3 linked regions of the Lepisosteus oculatus genome follow. The protein of the gene in region 1 purifies or fractionates together with the protein of each later gene. This does not show direct contact. Links are inferred from orthologs where the notes say so. Each region holds a gene or a part of one and is shown in the gene's direction. Other genes may lie near its edges.

Region 1 (7,020 bases):
TTTCCCATCTTTGATGGGACATTCCATGGGTTATTGTTTAGCCAGCCTGCATGAGCTTTAACTGTGCTAAAAACAAAAACAATTTTTAGTCGGTTGCTTAGTTCATGAATTGGCTTTACTCTTCTGTCATTTGGATCTACAAATCTGACTGCCTCGTCTTCCCAGCACACATTAGCCATCTGCTTTGCAGCTTGGTACTGACTTGCGCTGAGATCCCCAAGTTATAATCAAAGCTAACATTATGAAAACACCGCTGGTTGTAATTTTCCATGAGAGCATACAGTCGCTACCAGAGTAAACAACCCCTCCCGCTTCGCCGGCTGGGTCACTGTTCTGTTGTGGATCCAGCAGACTTCCCTACCGTTTCTTGAAGGAGCCCAGGGAATGGACTTCAGCAACTGCATCTGCATGCAACTGGAAGTGCTTTTAAAACTGAGGACAAAGGGTAGTGGAGGGGTGGAACAGGATACCCAGCCATTTTGTCAAAGCCAATAACCCTGGCTCCTTCCAAGACACACCTGGTGGAGATCCTCACGTCAATTAACCTTAAAACGGCCCAGATGGGCTGAATGACCTCCTCTCGCTTGCACTCTTTCTTGTTTTCTGATGAACAGCTGTTCTAATAAGCATGAACCTCATGGATACTGTTATAGTTAGAGGAGCTCTGGATATTAGCATTACTTAAAAATGAATCAGTTCTGATCACTCCCACCATTTTGTTTCCTACACCTTCCACGATTCCCCGGAAGCACGGCTCCGTCGGCTCGCGTCAGGTCTGTGAGCAGGTGCAAATGCACGGCCCCTAGCTGGCAGCTTCGGTCAGTCTCGGGCTGAGAAGGGCAGCCCTTCTAATCACTCTGATGGAGGGCGGCAGCCCAGTGCTGCTGCACCGGGGGACGGAGGAGCTTGAAATCCGATGCTGGTCTGACATGGTGCGAGAGGAGGAGGGGGGGGCTCTGGGTTCCCAGCCCAGATTGCGCTGGGCAGATGTCTCCCCGAGAGTAATCAACATCACAATTGAAATAATTGGTACCTCCACCATCCGCCTGTCTGGGGGCTCAGGGATTGGCTGAGCACTGAGCACTAATTATTGTTAACCCACTTACAGAGAGAAGAGGCTGCAGGATGTGGGGTGCCCCATTAGGCAGTGGGGAGAGCCGGTGGGGGGAGGGGGTTCTTGTCTGTGTGTGTCAGAGTCAGGGAGAACACGTAACTGCCTGTTTACTACCTGATCTCTGTATAGGTTATATATACGTACATGTGTAAAAAAACGCAGCTGCGGAGGCTGTCTGTGTGTCTCATGGAGAGCAGGCTGGGGTATGCAAAAAGACAAATTCCTAATACAAGAAATTGTATATGGCCAATAAAGTGATCTTATCTCTTATCTTACAAAGTTAACAAAAACAGATGTGAAAATAGCAATTTTGTCATTTTTTCTAAAGCTCTTGATGAAGCGTAGGACACACGTTTCGCTCAGAGGTGGCACTCTTGCTCAGTCTGACACATTAAAACGTTTTCAATCATTTTCACCAAGTGAGGCTCTTTCTCTGCATAGTGTGAAGTGAAACAATGTGAAAACAGTGGAACAAATGAAAAATAAAAAAATGTACGCTACACACTCTGGCACATTGAAGTACGGTTGACAGGCGGTGTCCTACAGTGGTCATGACTGGTGGATGGTGATTACTTAACGTTTTAATGGCCTGGTTATTAGGCATGGCCCCATGGCAGAGAGTCTCCACGAGCTAAAGGTCTGAATTTCAGTTTAAATTTCACTAGGACTCATCTAAGTGTGCAGTACTCTTACAGAATCACCATAGACTATAAAACAAGTAACTAGCCCTGCTCCTGAAGACCCATAATGTGTTCTGGTGTTTAGTGCCAGTTAAGCTTTGAATATTAGTGGTTACTTGCTTCATTGAATGGTATAATGGAGTATGCTGGTCTCTTTTGAAGGACTGTTCAGGTTTAACTTAGGAGACCTTCCAAACTCTCTCTTCAGGAGTAGGGCTGTGGATGTAGGTTCTGCATGGTTACTGTGTTTCCAGAGGTTTTAACTTAAATAGCCACAGCTTTCATGTTACTTTCAATGAAGACTCGTTGAAAAGAGTGCAAGAGTGCACAACTGATCACTTCATATCAAGAGACAGAAGGGAGATTGGGTTAAGTTAAACATTTATGAGCTCACCGCCTTGGAAGGTAAATAAAGGGTTCAAAGACTCCTACAAAGCAATGATTTAAGGCCATCATAACAAGATCATCCCTACTAAAACACTTGGTTCACGGTAAAATATAAACATCCTCACCGATGATGTAATGTTCTTGGATGATTAGCACTAACAAAACTAGGTTTGTTTTTCTTTGTCAGCGAAGGTTACTTTTGCTGCAACAGCTCCTTGAATTCAGTCAGTTTCAGGGTTTTCTGGTGGAAATTGGAGCTCTTCATCATTGGGTCTCAACTTGAAACATGAAAGGAAACCAAATTCTTCAGGACCTAAGGATCAGAGAGCTGCAGTCCTGCAGGCTGTGTAGCCAATCTTAAATAGTCAATGAGCAAAAACCTGAAAAGTATTTGAACTCCTTTGCTTGAAGAAGGAATTAGGCATTTCAGAGCCCAGCTGGAAAGAAAGCCAATAGACACAGTGGCTCTCCAGCAGCAGAGATGAATATTCTCAGTATTGGAACATCGTGTAAATGTAGAACGTAAGAAGACAGAAGCTGAATGTGATATCCACAAGCATGCCTACATGTTGTAATCAGAGATTATCTTTAACATCGTGTATAAAGGGGACATACACGGTTCACATACTAAACATCAAAACAAACTGCATAACTCAAATTCACAAGGTTATCAGTGTAAGGACAATCATTTTGTATCAGGCCACCTCACTTGTTATTGATGGATGTGATGGACCGTAGGTAAACTCCTTATGCTGATTAAAATATGTGATCCACAGGGTTGATGGGAGCTCTTCACAGGCCAATGGCACGTGTGGGGAATGCTGGAAGCTGTACAAAAACTGCACAAGCATGATTTAGCGTACACCGGGTTGCAGATGATGCTTGGTGAAACTCTCTCTACCAGCATGATTCCTCTCGATGTTCCTGGACAAACCTGTGCACTGGTCTCTGATCCCTAAATGCTAAACATATTCCCAACACACCCACCCCACACACAGACGCGCATCAGGCTTTACATGTGGTGAACAGAGCCTCCCTGGCACAGCTGCCCCACCTTCACCTGGCAAGAAGGCCCTCGTGTGTTGTGTGTTGTCGAGCCTTCAGGAAGGTCCCAGTGTAGCTCCGTGCAGTCGGGCTGCCTTCAGTCTCTACAGGAGCTGTTCTGCAGACGCTGGACACTCCTGCCCAGAACATCACACCTAGACCTCCCTGTTGACCGGGCTATGAACACCACAGTTAGAGTATCATTCTGCACCCCTGCGCCACACTCGCGGACGTCCTTCAGGGACGTTCAACGCAAGGCCTTGATTCGTCTCTCAAGGGGACTCCAGCGAAGCTGTCCACTTGAGGTGTGGCTCCAACAAACCGAGGACACAAAAGCCTCTTTCTCTGGAGGAGTGGAGTATATCGGTTCCTTTCTGTGTATCCCTTTCTTCATTTTCACCGGGCTGGACAGGAACAAACTCTCCGCCGGTTCCGAGTCAACCTTCTCTCCCGCCAGGAGATTCCATACGTAAGCAGCTATGTCACTGGAGTGTGTCAGGATCCGTCGCAAAAATGGCTGAATAATCAATGACGGTATCCCCATTGTTCAATCACCGGTCTGTCAAAAAACATTGAATCAGCGACCAAAATCTGAATGTATTTTTTAAAGGCCAGCCTTCACCAGTAGAGCGATAGGCTTCTTTTGAACCCGAAGAAGGCTCCACAGCCGAAACGTTGTGTTTCCTTCCTTCTCTTTCCAGCAGGGAATAAACCTTTGCTGGCTTCTCTTGATTGTCAGTATACCCTGTCAAGAATGACATCATCAGCGCAGTCCATATATGGCCGGGCTGGGCCGGCGCTAGGACCCGGCGTTGTAACCTGCGCCTCCCCGCGGTGGTGGTAGCACTAGGACCGAGCAGAACATTAGGTTAGTGCAGAGAAGGACCGTCTCTTTGTTCCAATCTCGAGATCTGTCTCCCCGCAGCCTCACTCTCTCCTCTCCTTTTATTCCATTACAGTATTACACAGGTCTGGATGACTGCGAGGACAGCAAAATGGCTGTGAATCTCAGCAAGAATCGACTGGCCCTGTTAACAGCCTACCAGGATGTTATCAGCGAGACTTCGTCCACCGACTGGTAAGGCAAACGTACATAGGTATCCCCACCCGCTGGTGTGGTGCTGGGGTTTTATTATAAGGCGTAGGCTTGTGCAATATCACTGCCGAACAATGTGGGTACTGATGTCCACGGCCGGGGAATGATGCCTCATCATACTACTGTACGGTTTGCGCTGAAACGCCTCGGATAGATGCAGCAGCAGCCTTTCTGTGGATAAACTCTGGGCAGGCGATAAATGCTTTTGGCACTTGGGGTGCAGCCGTGCAAAATCAGTTACTTTGCATGTTTAATGACCGCAGTTTATGGAAATGTAAGCTGATATCACCTTACGTGATACGGCATGTTGATTTCGTGACAAACACCCCCCCCAACCTTATTGTACCCCCCAAAAGAGAAAAGGTCAGACTTTAACACCAGGGTTTTTTTAGAAAAAGGAAAAAAAAACACTTGATTAGCTTTGGGATTTGATAATGCTTTGCGTTCAACAGACAATTGATTCGTTAGCCATATTTTAGTATTTTTTATTGCACATAATTTTGCCTTTCTTGTTCTCTTTTTTTGGGGGGGCCAATTTACCCCCTCGTGAGTCCGTCACGCATTACGCATTGTCAGAAATCCGAGTAGCCGCTAATGTTTTGCAAGATGTACTATTGTTTGCTCTGTCACAGGCTGCTCTGCCTCGGATGACCGCTAGTTCAGGCTAATTTGTAGTTCCGAAGCTTTTTCCGTTGGTCTTTTTTTTTTTTGTCGTACTGGGCACGGCTGAGGAGGGGTCCACCTCGCTCCTGTCGCTCGGCTGTGCTCCCTGACAGCACCTCCGCGAGTGGTGGAGTGGGCGAGGCGAGAAGGGACCGGCTTTCGGCGCAACAGTCAGCCCCAAGCCCACTGGCTCGGCACACGAGTGTGTGGCGTGCCCTTGCATCCCGTCGGATCCGACGCCAACGGCGTAGTAACTTTCTGCGGCGTTTCAGCTCGGCGGTGGCGATGTTCCTCAGCCCGCAGCCCGTGAGCACCTGGGGTGTGATGGGCAGTTGTTCATGCCTCGTTAGAGGACGCAGTGTTTTAGCTGCGTTTCAGCGGATTGATGAGATGTTTCCTTGGCTGAAGACAGGAGTCAATCGCTGATATAATTATTCATCGGAGCGCAGCTGTGCCGGGGAGAGGGGACAGCAGGGTCTATAGATTTTTTTTTTGGGGGGGAGGGTAGGACTTTCCTTTTGAAAATAACCTAAAGGTTTAAACAGGATGTCCATAGAACCCATTTATATAGAGAACCAGGACTTTTCTATAGGATCTGTAGGTTGCTTTATGAAGGGTGCACAGTGAGTGTGGCGGTATAAAGACATGGAGATGTAATCCCAAAGGCTTGTAACAGGACTGCAGTATTTTGCTAAGGAGGACTGCTGGGAGGAAAGCTTAGGTGTCTACTTGTACTTCTACGAGAACGCAGCAGTTTCACTAGACTGTGGTAACTGTTGCAGGAGTGGCCCTGGTACTGTATTCACCTCTTGCAAGGAGACAAAGACAAAGACTCCTCCCTTTGAATAAGAGCTGAATCAATTTTTAGAATTGATGAGTTGCCTGGACATGAACAAAGTATATGCAGCAATGGGAAAATGAAGAAAACGTGTGACTATCTGAGCTGAACGTACCTACCTGCCTGTGCATAAGTTTATCAAGTCATCTAAAAACGTGAACTGGATCTGGCCGCTTGCATTGGGAGTCTTGTTTTCCCGTTGTAACGTTCATCTGTAGAGGAAACCCGGTTCTTTGCAGGTTGTTGTTTGTTTGTCTTTAATGGGATCAATCTTTTAGACAACTAGATAGGTGGTGGTTTTTGTCAGGTCATCTATAGGTCATTTCTGTACGATAAGAGTTTCTCCTGTGTGTATGTCGGAACACTTTACTCCAGTGCTCACATCCCTGTAGTGGCTGCCTGTTGACCTTTTACATTTGCTTTAAAGAAGCTGATGTCACTTTCCTGAAAGAAGACGTCACTTAAAAGAAGTGATATCTATATCCTTCATGGGTTAGGGTAAGGGGCTTATGTTTGTCCAGGAAATACTCCACACACTCCAAATCATTTGCAAAGGTCTAAGATCAGTGAGTGGATCACTGAGCATTGTCTTCAGCTGGTTGGGTTCTGCAGATTTCTGTGGCTCCAGATAAATTAATTCCATTTCACATTAGGACTGTCTCAAGTGAATATTATTTTAGGTTAAAGCAGTCATGCATAGCTGGACTGGGGCTGTCCTGCAAGCGTTTGTGTCTTGTTTTGAATGCGGCGCTGCTTTGTGATGTGCCTTGGAATGACAGTCGCTCCGTCCTCATGAATCTCGTTTTCACAGAATTGCTTTCATGCTGCTGGAAATGGAAAATTTGACATTTGTCCTCCAATGTGATCCGAAAGAATAAAAAGGAGTGGTGTGAAAATGGGGTACCTAATATGGACTCCAAGGTCTTCTTCAGGAATAAATGAAACGTCCTGTTTGTTCCTACAGTTTGCAGACACAGCTGGGGGGTCGTAGTCCCAGGTGTCACTGTAAAGTGACCAAGAGCATTGTAACCAATATCCAAAATAAAACAGTGTTGCTTATGCTTAATTCTCAATTAGTGTTGGTCAAACCTAACTCTGAAGGGTTTTTCTGTTTATCAGTATTGTAATTCTGTTTTTAAACTGAAACGCATCTGCAGAACTTCCAAGTAAGTAAATCTGGAATTTCCTTACAGCTCTG
Region 2 (7,313 bases), on another chromosome or scaffold:
AATCAAATAAGAAAAAATATAAAGTGAAACAAAGCACTTTAAGAATGATTCAAGTACAGTTAGTTCAAGTAAAAACGGGTATTAGAAAGAGAGAAAATTCTACTGAAATAGAAGACAGGTAATATGTTTTCAATATGACCACAACAAAACACTAGTTAACCATGAAGTAATGTCTCTCAGGCATAAAAATTGAAAACATTTAGAAAATAAAAGGATGATGGCTTCTGTATTAAATATTTCACTACACTTTTTATCATGGGAGAAATCAACTGCATGCTTCAGGGTGAGGAAAGGTGGAGCTTTAGATTATATACTTTTAGCACAGAAAATACATGAGAGTTACAGGTACCAGAAGCACTTACTGTAAGATGAACACAGTTTTAGGGATGTTGTTCATAGGTCATTAGTAAAACTATTCCAACTGTGACAAAACTAACCCAAGTAATTGTAGACCAATAACCCTTACTTCCAATGTAAAATGGCAGTTGTATGGTAATAGACATCTGAGTCTGAACTACTGCTCTTCCTAATTTATATCATTAATCTAGACTCTGAAATAGCAATAGTAGTACAGTATAGTTAAAAGCATAGATTTTTAAGCAAAGGGTAATATGTTACACTTGTATGACTTCATTTAGAATATTTTTACAATTCTGATACAAAAACGATTGTTGTCCTTGAATTTCATTGTAGAGGAGCAACAAAATACATTCCCGGCCTAAAAGGAATATCCAACTTTGACAGTTTAAATGAACATAAAATTAAATTAACAAACCTAAACAACTGGATTCATACCAAATTACTATAAAAGGATGTGTAGCTCTCACTTAATCCCAGTTCTTTTCTTAACAATCTTAACTCATTTGTGCATTACCCTTGTCTATCTGTGAATATGAAGTTAATCCATAATGAACACAGTATCTTAGATTCTTAACACATATCTCTTGATAGTTAAATATGTCAAGAAACAATATTTTTAACATACCAAATATTGCACACATAGTTTAACTAATTGCACGATTGGTTAAATAAATGATATATCAATAATGTAACAATAACTATTACTATTATTATTTTATGTATAGTAAGAGGGGTAAATAACAGTTTCTCTAAATCCCTCACATTATTTTTCTGTCCTTGGTCCACCTTAAGAAATGCTCTTTAGCTCAAGTGGCCAATAAAAATAGACAAACAGCTGACTAGCATTACAGGAAATGCATTTTCATTTTTTCAATCCAGCATACAACAGAAGTTTCTCGTTTCTAACAATTTCTGGGTCTTAAGGAAATTAAAAATATATTGTCAAGTGTTTAAAAGATTATTCCACATTAACACATGCAAAATGTAATAGCACTAATTTGTCACTTCTCTGTGTCCTAGGAATGAAGTCAGTCTTCCCTGCTCCTGACAGTGCTTTGTTTTATTATATTACCAAGGCAACAGCTGCTGGAATTGTCAAATTTTAAGGCTGAAGTCTATTTGATAACTGTCTGGCTGCAGGCTGGAGAAAGATTGTTCAGTGAATAACATATTTACATACTGAATACACCAACTTACCACACCACTTCTTCCTTCTTCAGGCTGTGCTCCGGGGACAAGAAGCCAGATCCCACTCGGCTTTTGGCAGCATCATCATGCTCACTGAGCTGACAACATTAGAATTATTCTACTAGCAAGAGGAAATCATGTCTTGCAGTGTCACTAGACTGGCCATGTGACCTGTCTCTTTCTATGGCAGTCACACTCCCAAATCCATTAGCTTTGTAGTTGTTTTACAAGCAGCAGTGAGAAGGCAGAAAAGGCACTGCTTCGTCAGCATGGCTGGGTGTTCAGCTGTTCTGTGTCAGGGAAATGCAGAGCTGAAAAATGCACTCCCCACAGCACATACTATCAGCATCCAGTAGTGCAACAAACATGCTGGGTCATCCTGATGAAAATAATGTTTCTTCCAAGTGTATCTATGAAGGTAAGACAAAAGACAGATAGGGACCATTTTGAACATGGAGATGCAGCTCCATTACTTAGTTTTATTCATTTGAATCCTTAAATACTTATAAGTACCACCACAGACTTTTGCTTCTCTTGTGATATGTTTTCTTCTTTTTCTTTATAATATTTTGAATAAGATAGAATATTTTTTAAACTGGTTGAAAACAATAAGCATCAAACTATGAATTGCAATATTTGATATTTTAAAGCTATAGTTTGTTGATACTTCCTGATTTATTTTGCACACAATTTGTCTAAAGTTGAAAATCAAGCAGTGAAATACGTGTCATGAATAATTGTCAGAACGCGGATATGAAAGTAGTCTTGAAACTCAAATATGTACAGTATACAGTATAAAGAAATCCTCCTTTAAAAAACTCTAGAATGAAAGAGTATTTTTCTGTTTGTATTTTATTGACATTTTTAGGAACCTAATTAAATCAGTCAATATACTGTACTGTATACAAAATTAAGAAAGAAACTTACTTTAAACATAAAAACATTGAAGTTTTTATGTACAGTAAAGACACTTTGGAATTCTTCAAGTGCAAACTGCTTATCTCATACTAAACAAATTGCTCAGAAGTAGAATCAAGCTCTTAAGATTTTAAATAGTTCAAAATAATCAGTAACCTTTTCAGAAATATTATATTTCAGTATTAATATCATTCATGTTCAAACAGAATGTCAGCAATACTGTGATCTACCAAAAGGTATTTTTTAAATATGCTTCTAGATGAGGAATACTGTATCTATAAATAAATCTCTGTAATAGCCTAAAAACATTTTGAACTACCATAGATTATGGACCAAATTTAATTAATCTTTTCTTCTGAAAAGTGGTTAGCCAGATAATTCACTCAGCGGAAGATATTATTGGAATCTTATAATCAAATACACAGTAAAAGATAAATATATCTGCAGCACCCTGCAAACCTCAAGGGATTATTGCTGTTGTCCTTTCAAAACCTACTTAAGCAATCCTTTTTCCTGTTGACAGTATTTAAAAATTATATTTATAATGTGTTGGTGATTGTTCATGGAGTGAAGTTTAACATATATTTTCTGGAATATAGCATTGAAAGAAAAAAAACTTCTGCATATGATCTCATAAACACCAGCTAAATGAGTAAAAGTTAAAAAGTTAAAACACTTGAAATTGTATTTCTGAATGGAATTTGCATTTCACCTCACAGATACATTTCTGTGTCAGTATGCACTGTATGTGTATATATACTGTAGCTGGCTTTGCAAAGCAATACTGTTCCTACTATGAATCATGTTTTGGCACATTCTCCAACAACGTTATTCACGACATTATATATTTAGTGTTATAACTTATGAGCATTGCTTGACAGAATTGTACCTATTTCAAAATAATATTTCTTCCACGTTTACTAATTTCACTACAACAAGAGGTCGATTAGATTTCTACTGAATTACAACAATTTAATCCACAGTGTATGAATTGTTATTTCTTTATAAATAAATTTAGGAATGTAGTAACGCTGGATGTACAACTGTGTCCATCATATTTTAACTTGTTTTACTGTTTTATTAGTTTTCCCATTGATTTGATAATGCATCACACTTTGCAAGTAACGACACGTTTCTGCAAGTACCCTACAGCCGACGATGACACAGCGAGAACAAACTGCCTATACCTTATAACAAGATTGGTGCCAGCTTAAAAAATGTGCTAGTTTTACCATCCCCTGGTCATTGATATCCCATAATGCAGTACAATATCTCTAGGTACAGATACGTAGTGACAAGAGCATGCGCAATTCTTGTTAAGAATAAGAGCCTCTAGCGGTTGTTAGAAAATGTTTTACTGGCCTTGTATAACAGGTGCTTAGTGCAGCTTTTATCTCACACTAATTTGTGAAAATAGATGGAATTTGAGGTATTCGGTACTTACTCTAACATTTTTTTTTCCTGGAAGTTATCATGTTGAATATTTGAACTGAGGCAATACAATATTTAACTTATAAAGTTAGTTGCATCAATATGAATGGATCAAATTAAATTTACAGCAAATTGGAATGATCCGCAAAAAACTAGACTTCCGTGTATAATGCATTTTTACACAAAAAATCAAGGAGTTAAAGACTAATGGCTTTATGTTCTTGCATTTCTTCAGGCGGTGTTGTTTTCCCTTCAGACGTGTGTCCATATGTTAATTCGACGTGACTTTTCAATACGAGATAATTCCGAAATCCAATCATTTGAAATTTTACATAAACCTTTAATTTTGAGTGAAATTTTACATTTTTATTGCATGCTGTGCATACTTATGGAAACATTCACATTGCGTAGTGTTTGCTTTAATAGATATGTGATACGGAATTACAGGTTTTATGGAAGGTTCGAACAGCTAACATATCCAGACATTAACAAGCTCATGCATGCCCTAGCTAGACGAACAGCTCTGAACTTCCACCTCTTCTGAGCCCAGTGTTGGCCACGTGACTTTGGAGTCTCTGCTGCTGCCGGTGACGTCAAGTCGAAGCCGGTGTAGAATTGCTGTGTAGTTCAGTTTCTTCTTCCTTGTTCTTTCGCTTCTAATCAGCCGGTCGACTTCAGAGAAACAAATAATGTCCCATCAAACTGGCATTCAAGGTAAATTATTTTAAATCTGTGTCTAATCTCTTATCTTGTTAAAAAAACATAATCGTGGTTAAAAAGAGGAAGAAGTTCAGTTACGATGTAATCAATACCGCTTTAGATTAAATGGAAGTTCTTGTTGGATAGCCTGTTGTATCTCTTTGCAAAGGAGAATAATATAACTAATTGTATTATTTTGTCTGTTGAGTTAGAATGAAAAAAAACGTACGTGAAATGAAACATGCTTGGTGATCTGCTATACGTGTGTTGTGGTTGCTCCATTAGTACTGCCTAGAACAAAGGTCTTGTGCAAATGAAGTATCCACAGCACCTTCAGTAGAAAGCAGCTATGGTGAGACAACGCCTACAGAGGAATTTAGAAGGATATGACTGGGTCCTGGCCTTGCCAACAAACCGATGAGACAGACAGACTTACTTTTTCCCCCCACAAGTGTATCAGTTCCTCCCTTAAAAACCAAAACGTTTATGATTTTTATAGTGGGTCAGGAAATAAGTATGGAAAGGGGATTCTATACAGATCTCTTACTGTCGTGTCAATACAATAAAAGAAAATCACTTGTTTTATTTAGAAAACTAGGGTATTTGACTGTTGACTACATTATTTACCAGAAACAAAATCAATTAAATACTCTAATGCTAATGCATTTGTGTGCTTAATCAGGATGTTTGTGTAAAGCACATTCATAATTCTTATAAGGACAGATGCATGAAATGTTAATGAAAATTCATTGGCTTAAGTTTTTTTTGAGCACTTTGGATGCGCTCTTATGCCTTTATTATAAGTACTGGTAGACATACATCTCTTGCAACACACTGTTCCTGTCTCTTTACAGACAGTTCTCATGAGACTGTAGTTTTGTCTTCTGCCCTTGATTTTCCTCTTGTAAGATTGTTGTTCCAAAAATAAAGTTTATTTTGTTTCTTCATAAATTAAAATTAGTTTTGAGCTTAATTTGAAAATCCTTTAATTAAATTCAGTACTAAAACCTGATTGAGGGGCAAGGGAGCTGTCCACTCTTTCATTTGCCAGTATTGTTGAATTGTGACATCAGCAGTTCATTTTATTCTGCAATGTTTAAGTGTCATGCATTTATGTACATAAAAACAATGTGTACTTAACGTGTATAGTATGCTTCAATTAGTAGCTAGACGTGTAGTTTAATAATGTTAAAATTTTGTTTCAGCTGCTGAAGAAGTGAAAGACATTTTTGCAAATGCCAGAAATGGGAACTATCGGCTCCTCAAGATTGTGATCGAGAATGGTCAGTTCTAACTCTATGTAAAGTATGGAATTATAATTTACTTGTGATTTCTGTTATGATATGTAATACAAATGCCAGCCTTTTCCCTTTTAGGACAACTGCATCAGTGATAATGTAAAAAAATATTATTCAGAAGAAAAAGTTAAAACCAAGACAACCAGTAAGTTAAAATTAATAAAACACGAAATCCCCAGTTACGATAGCACAAAGTCAAGAACTAAAAAAGGCTTTTATGTCATAACTGAATCAAATGAAAACATGTTTCTTCACTGAATGTTTTTATGGTTTCTCATTACCTGGCATATTCATACATTTGATAGCGTCAAATTAGAAGTGAAAGATAAAATGCTTAGCCGTGTACAAGTAACTAGTTTTCTTTCAGCATGTTATATTGTTGCATCTATTAGTATGTAAAAGTGTATTAAATATGTAGAAAAAAAACACCCATATCCAGATCAGTGAATGTGGATAATAATGGGACTTGAAATTAGGTTTGATCAAGAAAATTTTAGACACTTTGTGACTTTTTTAACTGCACTTCCCTATTTTGCAGTGCTAAAAACCTGCTTTCTTCATTAAAAAAGTTTCCAAAATGTATGGCAAAAAATAGGATACACATGTGTAAATACAGTACACAAAATTGAATTATTTTTAATAAATACAATCCAATATGTATTTCTTTTTATTTAAAAAAATATGTGAAATAACAGGATATAGACCCATATAATCAAAGGCATCAGTGTAGTTATATTCTTAATAATTAAGACTCATGCATGTTCAATCTTTTTATTTCAGAAGAGCTGGTAGTCGGCAGCACCAAACAAGCTGTGAAGACCTGGGACAAAGAATATGATTTGTATGTTCTTCCTTTATTAGAGGATGACCAGCCATCATATATCCTCTACAGGTTGGACTCACAAAATGCTCAGGGATTTGAGTGGATTTTTCTAGCCTGGTCACCAGATCATTCACCTGTAAGCTATCCAATATACGGTAACGATATCCCAAAAAATGAAAGAATTGTTATTTTTTCATTGTACGTTACAGACTCGAACCTGTGTTTAAGGATTTAATGTTGCTTTGCAAGAACTGAATATGGTACCAGAAAACTGCAGCTTTGTTCTACTGATGTTTCACAGTATTCACAAGTATTAGAAGACCCAGTACAGTCCACTTTTCCTGGCTAAGGCCATGGCTACTGATTATTAAAAATGAAATATAGATTCAGTACAGAATTAACAAAGTGTCTTATCTGTATAATGGGGTTGTGCTTGTCGCAGCTGCATGTGTGCACCTATGACTCCTGCTGGCCATACTCAACACTGTGTCTCTACTGAACTGTCGTGTGACCCTTTTGATTGTCTCCTGTCCACAAGAATGCTCAGTATTTAAAATCTTATTTTGCAATGGAAGCAAACACTCACTCAGTTCTTC
Region 3 (7,238 bases), on another chromosome or scaffold:
AGAGAGACACCGAACAAAAGCCACCGGCCAGCGCCGCCCGCAGCCCCGCAAAACGAGCGAAAACAAGAGGGGGGAAAAACCGACACGAAACGTCGACAGTCACCTTCCCGGCGTGCAGAACCCGCCGCCGTGCAGGAATGGAGCGGACGGGCTTGCCGAGCCGGATAATATTCGCGATCTGGGTGTAGTCACCCCCTCCTCCTTCCTGCCTGCCTTTCTCTCCCCCCCCCGACGACAAGGGAGAGATTCTCATCCAGAGGCGACCGCCCGGCTCCGACAGCCGCCGGCGGGGCGGCCCGGAGGTCCGGCCCGGCCCGCTTACCGTGATTCCGAGGGCGGCTGCGTCGACTCGCTCCGGCGCTGTGAAGGGATCCGCAGGGCGATCCTGGGCTGAGGAGTCTGCCGATCCAAGATGGCGGCCCGCGCTGCACAGGGTTTCCTCCGTCACACACAATGGGCCTGGGGGGACAAAGGGCAGCGGCGCGCGCCCGGCGCCCGCGCGAGGCGCGAGGCGCGAGGCCACGGGCCACGGGCCACCGGCCACGGGCGTCCCGTCCCGTCGGCAGCACTGCGGAAGTATCGCCGTGCACGGTGTGCACTCAGCTTCACGGTGACACCGACACGGCACTGTGCTCCTACAGAGGGGAGAGTCCTGTGTCCCGGACTATTCAAAGTAATAATAATAATATGAATCAGTTTCCCTACGGGATCAATCAACTCTTATCTATCTCTATCTCTCTGATGATACAGCGTTTCCCTACGGGATCAATCCACTCTTATCTATCTCTTATCTCTCTAACGACACAGCTTTATTTTCTATAGCGCCTTTGAGGGCTTTACAGGACGGCGCCAACAACAGGTGTGAAGGCGTGTTGGCGGACTTTTTGGAAATGTAAAAACGTGAAATGAAAACTGTGCGCACCTTACTGGCTCTTGACTCTGTTTTGTCAAACGGACGATGTTATTGATATGTTGTATGTACTCTTGTTTGCGTTGTATTTTCTTTCGACTGTATTTCTACTATTAAACCCTATCTTTATCAAAATAAACGACAGTACAAGGACTGGACTTGTATTATTATTGTGGCTTTCACCTTCAGAGGTTTTTTGTAAGTGATGAACATGTAAATTAAATAAATAACGTGAGTTAGTTACTAGATAATATCACAGGAACTCTATTAAAGAGGTGAGACCTTTGTTGTACATTTCAGTAAAATACATGGCAGTGATAATAATATTTCACCTTGTTGACCAGTTTATAAACACTGACACTGTGGTATCACGTATGAACAACTGATTTTATAGTACGCCTCTCAGTCATAAATCTAGTTTCCAGACATGATGGTAATGTGAGAAAGGGCCTCTTTTTCAGAGGATGTGATTGTTTTTCTGAAGTGACTCAAAAGATTGCAGCGTCTGCTCTGGATCAGGGTCTCGTCCGGGTAAGGATGCAGATCTGGCTCCTGCAGGGTGCCTGGGACGCAGGAGCCAGGAGGAAGTGGTCAGAGACATCACAGCTGATCAGAGCTGGGGGTGTGGACCTCGGCGAGGCAGCCCTGCTAACGGACAACAAGCAGGCTGCACATTTCTGCTCTCCCCCGCGGCTGGCTGGGGAGTTTCCCCGATACAAGCTCCTTCTGCTCCACTGCTGCAGCCTGTCGCACCGCCCTGTGAAGCTCAGCGTTGAGCACTGCAGCCTCACAGCCCTGGGTTCAGTTCCCGGGGTGCTGTCTGTGTGGAGTTTGCATGTTCCTCGCTGGTTTGTGTGGGTCTGCTCCAGTTCCCCCCCCACAGCCCAGAGGCATGCTGGCCTGCAGCCTCAGTCCGAGTTTATCCCCAAGGTCAGTCCAGTTAGCAGGTTTGTGTCTGGCAGCTGGCAGCTCACTGTGGCTCAGCAGGTGTGAGTCTGGCCAGTACCTGGAGGGGAGACTCCTGGGAAACACTAAGGCTGCTGCTGGAAGAGGTGTTAGTGGGGCCAGTGGGGGGCGCTCACCCTGCGGTCTGTGTGGGTCCTAATGCCCCAGTATAGTGACGGGGACACCGTACTGTAAATACTTGCAGTCTGTTTCCCTGAGACCCTCCGTGATCATGTCCTCTGACTGCTTGGCCTCCTGTTCTGTGATAGCTTGGGTCCTCCTGCTCCTAAAAAGGCGAATTATGATGATGATGATAATTATTATCATTATAATAGCAGCTCAATGTGTCCGGGAAGAAAACCGTCGCCCTTCTCCACGGGTAACGTTGCTGGCAAAGCTGCTGTTGACAAGACAGAGACGGTCTCGCGGGAGAAGGTGGGCGGGGCTTGAAAGGGTGGCAGGACCTGATTGGGCGATTCGGTTACACGTCTTCACCTTACGGGGTCATGGAGACGTCACTTCCGGGGTGGAGGGATTACATAGTCGGAGACCCAGGGCTGGGTAGTTCGGAAGACAGCCGCCAGAGGGCGATACATTACAAGCTATAAAACTATTTGGCATCCCCCTTTATCGTTGATATGGAGGCTTCATATTATCCATTCATTTTCCAACGGCTTTGTCCGATACAGGATGCGAGGGATCGGGAGCCTATCCCGGCAGGCAACGTTGGCAAGGGGGATACACCCTTTGCAGGACGTCACATAACCGGACAGAATATTGATCTGCAATACTCCTGTTTTTCTCAGCGAGGTGCATTATTATTATTAATAATAATAATAATGCTTACACTTATATAGCGCTTTTCTGGACACTCCATTCAAAGCGCTTTACAGGTAATGGGGATCCCCTCCACCCCCACCAGTGTGCAGCCCCTCCTGGAAGATGCCAGTTCATAGATGGGGATTATTAGGAGGCCATGACTGGTAAAGGCCAGGGGGATATTTTGGGCCAGGACGCCGGGGTTACGCCCCTACTCTTTTCGAGAAACGCCCTGGGATTTTTAATGACCACAGAGAGTCAGGACCTCGGTTTTGCGTCTCATCCGAAAGACGGATTGAGTTCAGTTCAGTGTTGTGAACTGATTCAGATGTGGTCCCTTTATTCACCGTGAGGCTGGGAGCTGCTGCTGCCTGCAGCCCTCGGGATCCGGGTTCGATTCTGCCCTGGGGCTCCTTCTGTGGGAAGCTTGCATGTGCTTCCCACTGTTGGCTCAGGTTTCCACCAGGTACTCTAGTTTTCTCCTACCTTCCAAAGACCATGAGGTCACCAAAACATATCTGAGGTGTCTAGAGTGCTTCTAACATCTGCAACACATCTGTCCTTTCTATTCTGAAAAAGGAGAGTCACTGATCTGGCCTCACGTGAAATGATGGTCAGTGTTTCACATCCCTGTCAGGCCATTTTGTGTGCTTGGTCCATAATTAAGCCTAAAGACTCATCAGGCCAGAACTTCTCCCATCTTCTGTAGTACGAAAGCAGGCTGCAGGGCAGCGCTCTCCTCTGCTGACAGGGGTCCCATCTTGGGTCATCCATCCATCTGTCTGCCTGCAGCTCCCGGCTGGCAGCCCACTGGAGCCCAGCAGTGTGAGCCTGGTCGGTACCTGGAGGGGAGACTCCTGGGAAAGCTGGGGCTGCTGCTGGAAGAAAGGTTAGTGGGACCAGTATGGGTCTGTGTGAGTCCTAATGCCCCAGTATAGTGATGGGGACACTATACTGTAAAAAGGAGCCGTCTCTCGGATGAGTCATAAGTCATCTTGACTCTCTGTGGTTATTGAAACTCCCGGGGCGTTTCTCGAAAAGAGTAGGGGTGTTACCCCGCTGTCCCGGCCAAATTTCCCCCGGCCTTTACCAGTCATGACCTCCTTATAAACCCCTTTAATCATCCTTTTCTAACTTGTGGACCACCGGCAGGTTTTGAAATAACAGTCATGGTAATTTTGTCTTCATCATCATATACAGTATATCAGCACAACATGGGAGTGCTTCTTATACCGGTCTGGCCTTTTGTTCGCCTAGATTGAATCATTTAATCTTTTTTTTTTGTAAACAGTTATCGCAACAAAATGCCTCTATTTCGCAAAGTGTGCAAGATCTGTTTGAAAAGCCACTGTGGTGTGATGAAAAAAACCCCCAACAACTTCAGAATAAAACTTCGGAAGCTGTGGAAAAAAAAAGATAACTTGAAAGAAGACGCCTCTATGACATTGGAAGACTTCTGCCTTTACTTGTCAGTACTTGATAAGGGTGGATGTAGTGAAAAATCCGGATGTGAGCCTTAATGACTGGATCAGTCGAAGCTAACAGTGCTTAGTTGTTGTTTTTTTTTTTACAGTTGCAGGCACAATGATCTATGTAGAAAAGCATTAAAAACCCCAGGTATTTATCGTGGGATTCAACACGTTCATCAAAATCGCGTACTTGGATTTCAATACAAAGGAGACGCCATCTGTTTTATGAAGCTTTCATGTGTGCGCACTCATCCATACGGGGGGGAGCACACTTCTGGAATCAGGGCAGGCAAGGCTTTTCTGTTGCTATTGTGGGGGGAAAGGGGACCCTGACTCTTGCACTGTACGAGCACCGTGCGTCTGCCTCCCGAGCGAGCCTCTGTCAAGACTGCAGCGACGACCTGCGAGGTTAAGCGAGCTATTTTCGTCCTGCGGCGGTCTGGGAGCCGGCGAGGGGTGGGCACAGGGCTCGGAGCGCACAGCCTCTCAAAAGGGCGTCGCCCCGGCCGGACGCACCAGACGTGCCCAGAGATTTCTAGCCGTGTAGCAAGAAGGCGATTTCTCTCCCAAAGATCCCGACGCTGACCGACAGCCCCACTGCATTTCAGGTAACGATGACGTCTTACGAAGGATTTGCGCGCATAGCACGGCTTTTGTTTCGTAAAAAAAAAAATCTTATTTGCAGCAAGAACCGTGCAATAATAAAAAACAACATGAAGTCCGCGATGGAACAGCAGCCTGATAGTCTTGTTGAGATACGAGTTATTGGTCGTTTTTTCGATACCCGTTTGGGGTTCAAGTCTCTTCCTGCCTTTGTTAAAGTCCAAGGCTAGCTCCACAGATTCAGGTTTTTTTTTTTAATCGGTGGCGAGTTTATTTCCATCAAGAGAAATCAGTACGCCTCGGCAAACGCCTACTTTGATCGGGACTGATGTTTTTATGAATAGCAATTAAGAAGTTTTATCTAATAGAGTTTTAAAGGCGGCGCTTTATGTTTTGTCCGTGGTTTAAAATGCTTCAAGTTTGCATCGTGTGGTATTTTCATAAAGGTATGGAACAATCTGTAGTGCAATTTGTTTCCAGCATCTGTGGTTGATTGATCTCCTCTTATCTAAACAGCTTTTTGAACCCACAGGGGACAAAAACCTGCAGGATCTACTGTTTTGAAAACAGGGCGCAAATATTCCCATATATGGGCCTTAACAAACTCGCATTAAACCGAAAGTAGGGGGGAAAAACCGTACCAGCAGTTGCAATCCGGAATATTCTTCAGGGTAAGAGTTGTTTGCATACGAGATGCGCTTCATTACTGTGTGGAAGTCGTAATATAAAGATCTGACACGCGTGCCGGTTTTGTAACTTCCCGAAAAAAATATAAACTGTAGATTTGAAGTTTATAAAACATTGTAACATTAATATAAACTGTTCATGTTGTAGTTTACCGCTCTAGCCGTTTACCTGTCTGTTGCCTTCAGCCAGATAAAGTGAACGAACCCCAGGTGGGGCAGGTTTGTACCCTTGAGCACGGCTTACGCACGCTGTACTGCGGGCGTTTTGTTCACAGCAAACCTGTTACTGGTTCCTTATCAAAGTCCATACAAAACTAAATTGAGTAGCACGCATTCTGACTTCTTGACCATGTGTTCACGGAACTGTGTTCTAGAAAACCTCGCTATTATGCGATACTTGGGTACTTAAGTGTAGAAAATGCATGATTAGTTCCAGCACCTGGTGGCGGATGAAGTACAGTTCTGGCACTTTCTTCCTGTACTTTGCATGGTTTTTGTCCTGTCCTAAAGCAGTGTATTAGCAGTGTGTATCTTTCTCAGGTCTGGTCATTTACGCCTTCTGAAGCTTTGTAGAATCCCCGAGTTACTAGGCCTGAGCCACCAGCCTAACGCTAAAAAACTTCTCCCTGTTTAAAGAGGCCAAGTGAGAAAAGCTGTGCATGAGTATACATCGATAATCTAAGAATCTAGAGCCAGCGTTGTGTTAATAAGTCAGATGAGTCAGGTTTTTTTTTTTAAATGCTCATAGATGCTATGTTTGAAACATACAACATATTTTCCATAGTGATTCGTTTGGTAACCATGGAAATGCACACACAAGCAAACACAGGCCACTTTTTGGACCGTAGTGTTTTGGCGATGGCAGGAAGTAACGGCATTAGTTACATTGATTTTCCCCCAAGTTAAAATAAGTTAGTGAGCTGTTGCACAGGAAAACACACAGCCTGAGTCATAAACCCTACAGAATGTTATGGCCTGAGTCCTCCAGCAGTTATTTTGGGATTCATACTTGATCACGAAGAATAGAAAAAAAGGAAATGCTTTTTTTTTTTTTTGCAGTTCAGCAGAGGCAGAAATCACATTGAGCGCCCTGTCAAACAGTACCTGAGCGAGGCGTGTGCTCAGAAAACTGATAACACTCTGACATAGCTGCTTCTACTCAGAGCTGTAAACCATTTCCTGGAGCAAGAGCAAACAGTTTTTGACACACCTCCTGCAGAAGTAAATGAGGAGGGAAACAAGCACATATTTCAGGTTCCATAAACTGTGCACATCGACAGTGTAGGCGGCACAAAAAGAACTGGAAAAACCCCATCGATGGGCACTGTGAACTTGGGAAGCTTCCTTATTGTACAGATGACAGGGGGAAACTGGGAGAGAGGTCGTACAAATAACTGTATAGCTAAAGTAGTTCAGGTGGGCAGCAGCAGCAGCATGCGTAGGCTGCAAAGGAACAAGTAAAGGTTTATTCCCGGCTGAAAAGAGAAGAACAACGTTTTGGCTGTTTTCTTCTCGTTTCAGTAGGGAATAAACCTTTACTTGTTCCTTTACTATATAGCTAAAATGTGTTTTTAGTATATGTAAGCTGTATAGTTATAAGAACAGTAAGTACATGTTAGCGATATAGTATTAACTATATATAGTTTCTAGACTCAAAACAGTCTTCTTTAGAAGAGTCTTTACTTCATTGGTTCTATTATTTACCCCTGTGCTCCTGCCACATTCAATACTCCCATCTACTGCCTCCTCTCACTGTGCACAACTTGTGTATTTTTTAATTGTTGTTGTTCTGTAAAGCACTTTGAG

What was found. Proteins that work in one complex are often made in the same cells at the same time.
Region 2: the proteins of dbn1 (region 1) and twf1b purify together in Homo sapiens (affinity purification with mass spectrometry; 3 studies listed by BioGRID and IntAct, with this or other methods). This does not show direct contact. The link is inferred for Lepisosteus oculatus from reciprocal best matches to the Homo sapiens genes DBN1 and TWF1.
Region 3: the proteins of dbn1 (region 1) and gelsolin purify together in Homo sapiens (co-immunoprecipitation; 3 studies listed by BioGRID and IntAct, counting the BioPlex papers as one, with this or other methods). This does not show direct contact. The link is inferred for Lepisosteus oculatus from reciprocal best matches to the Homo sapiens genes DBN1 and GSN.

What each region holds. Positions count from the first base shown.
Region 1 is NC_090706.1:39,983,798-39,990,817, forward strand, and holds the start of dbn1 (drebrin), read left to right. Parts: upstream 1-4,004; 5' UTR 4,005-4,093; intron 4,094-4,106; exon of another isoform or gene 4,107-4,184; 5' UTR 4,185-4,220; coding exon 4,221-4,303; intron 4,304-7,020. UniProt on the Homo sapiens protein: Actin cytoskeleton-organizing protein that plays a role in the formation of cell projections. Required for actin polymerization at immunological synapses (IS) and for the recruitment of the chemokine receptor CXCR4 to IS.
Region 2 is NC_090702.1:29,640,621-29,647,933, forward strand, and holds the start of twf1b (twinfilin-1), read left to right. Parts: upstream 1-4,312; 5' UTR 4,313-4,586; coding exon 4,587-4,611; intron 4,612-5,801; coding exon 5,802-5,879; intron 5,880-6,674; coding exon 6,675-6,853; intron 6,854-7,313. UniProt on the Homo sapiens protein: Actin-binding protein involved in motile and morphological processes. Inhibits actin polymerization, likely by sequestering G-actin. By capping the barbed ends of filaments, it also regulates motility.
Region 3 is NC_090719.1:14,697,766-14,705,003, forward strand, and holds the start of gelsolin, read left to right. Parts: upstream 1-4,237; 5' UTR 4,238-4,751; intron 4,752-7,238. UniProt on the Homo sapiens protein: Calcium-regulated, actin-modulating protein that binds to the plus (or barbed) ends of actin monomers or filaments, preventing monomer exchange (end-blocking or capping).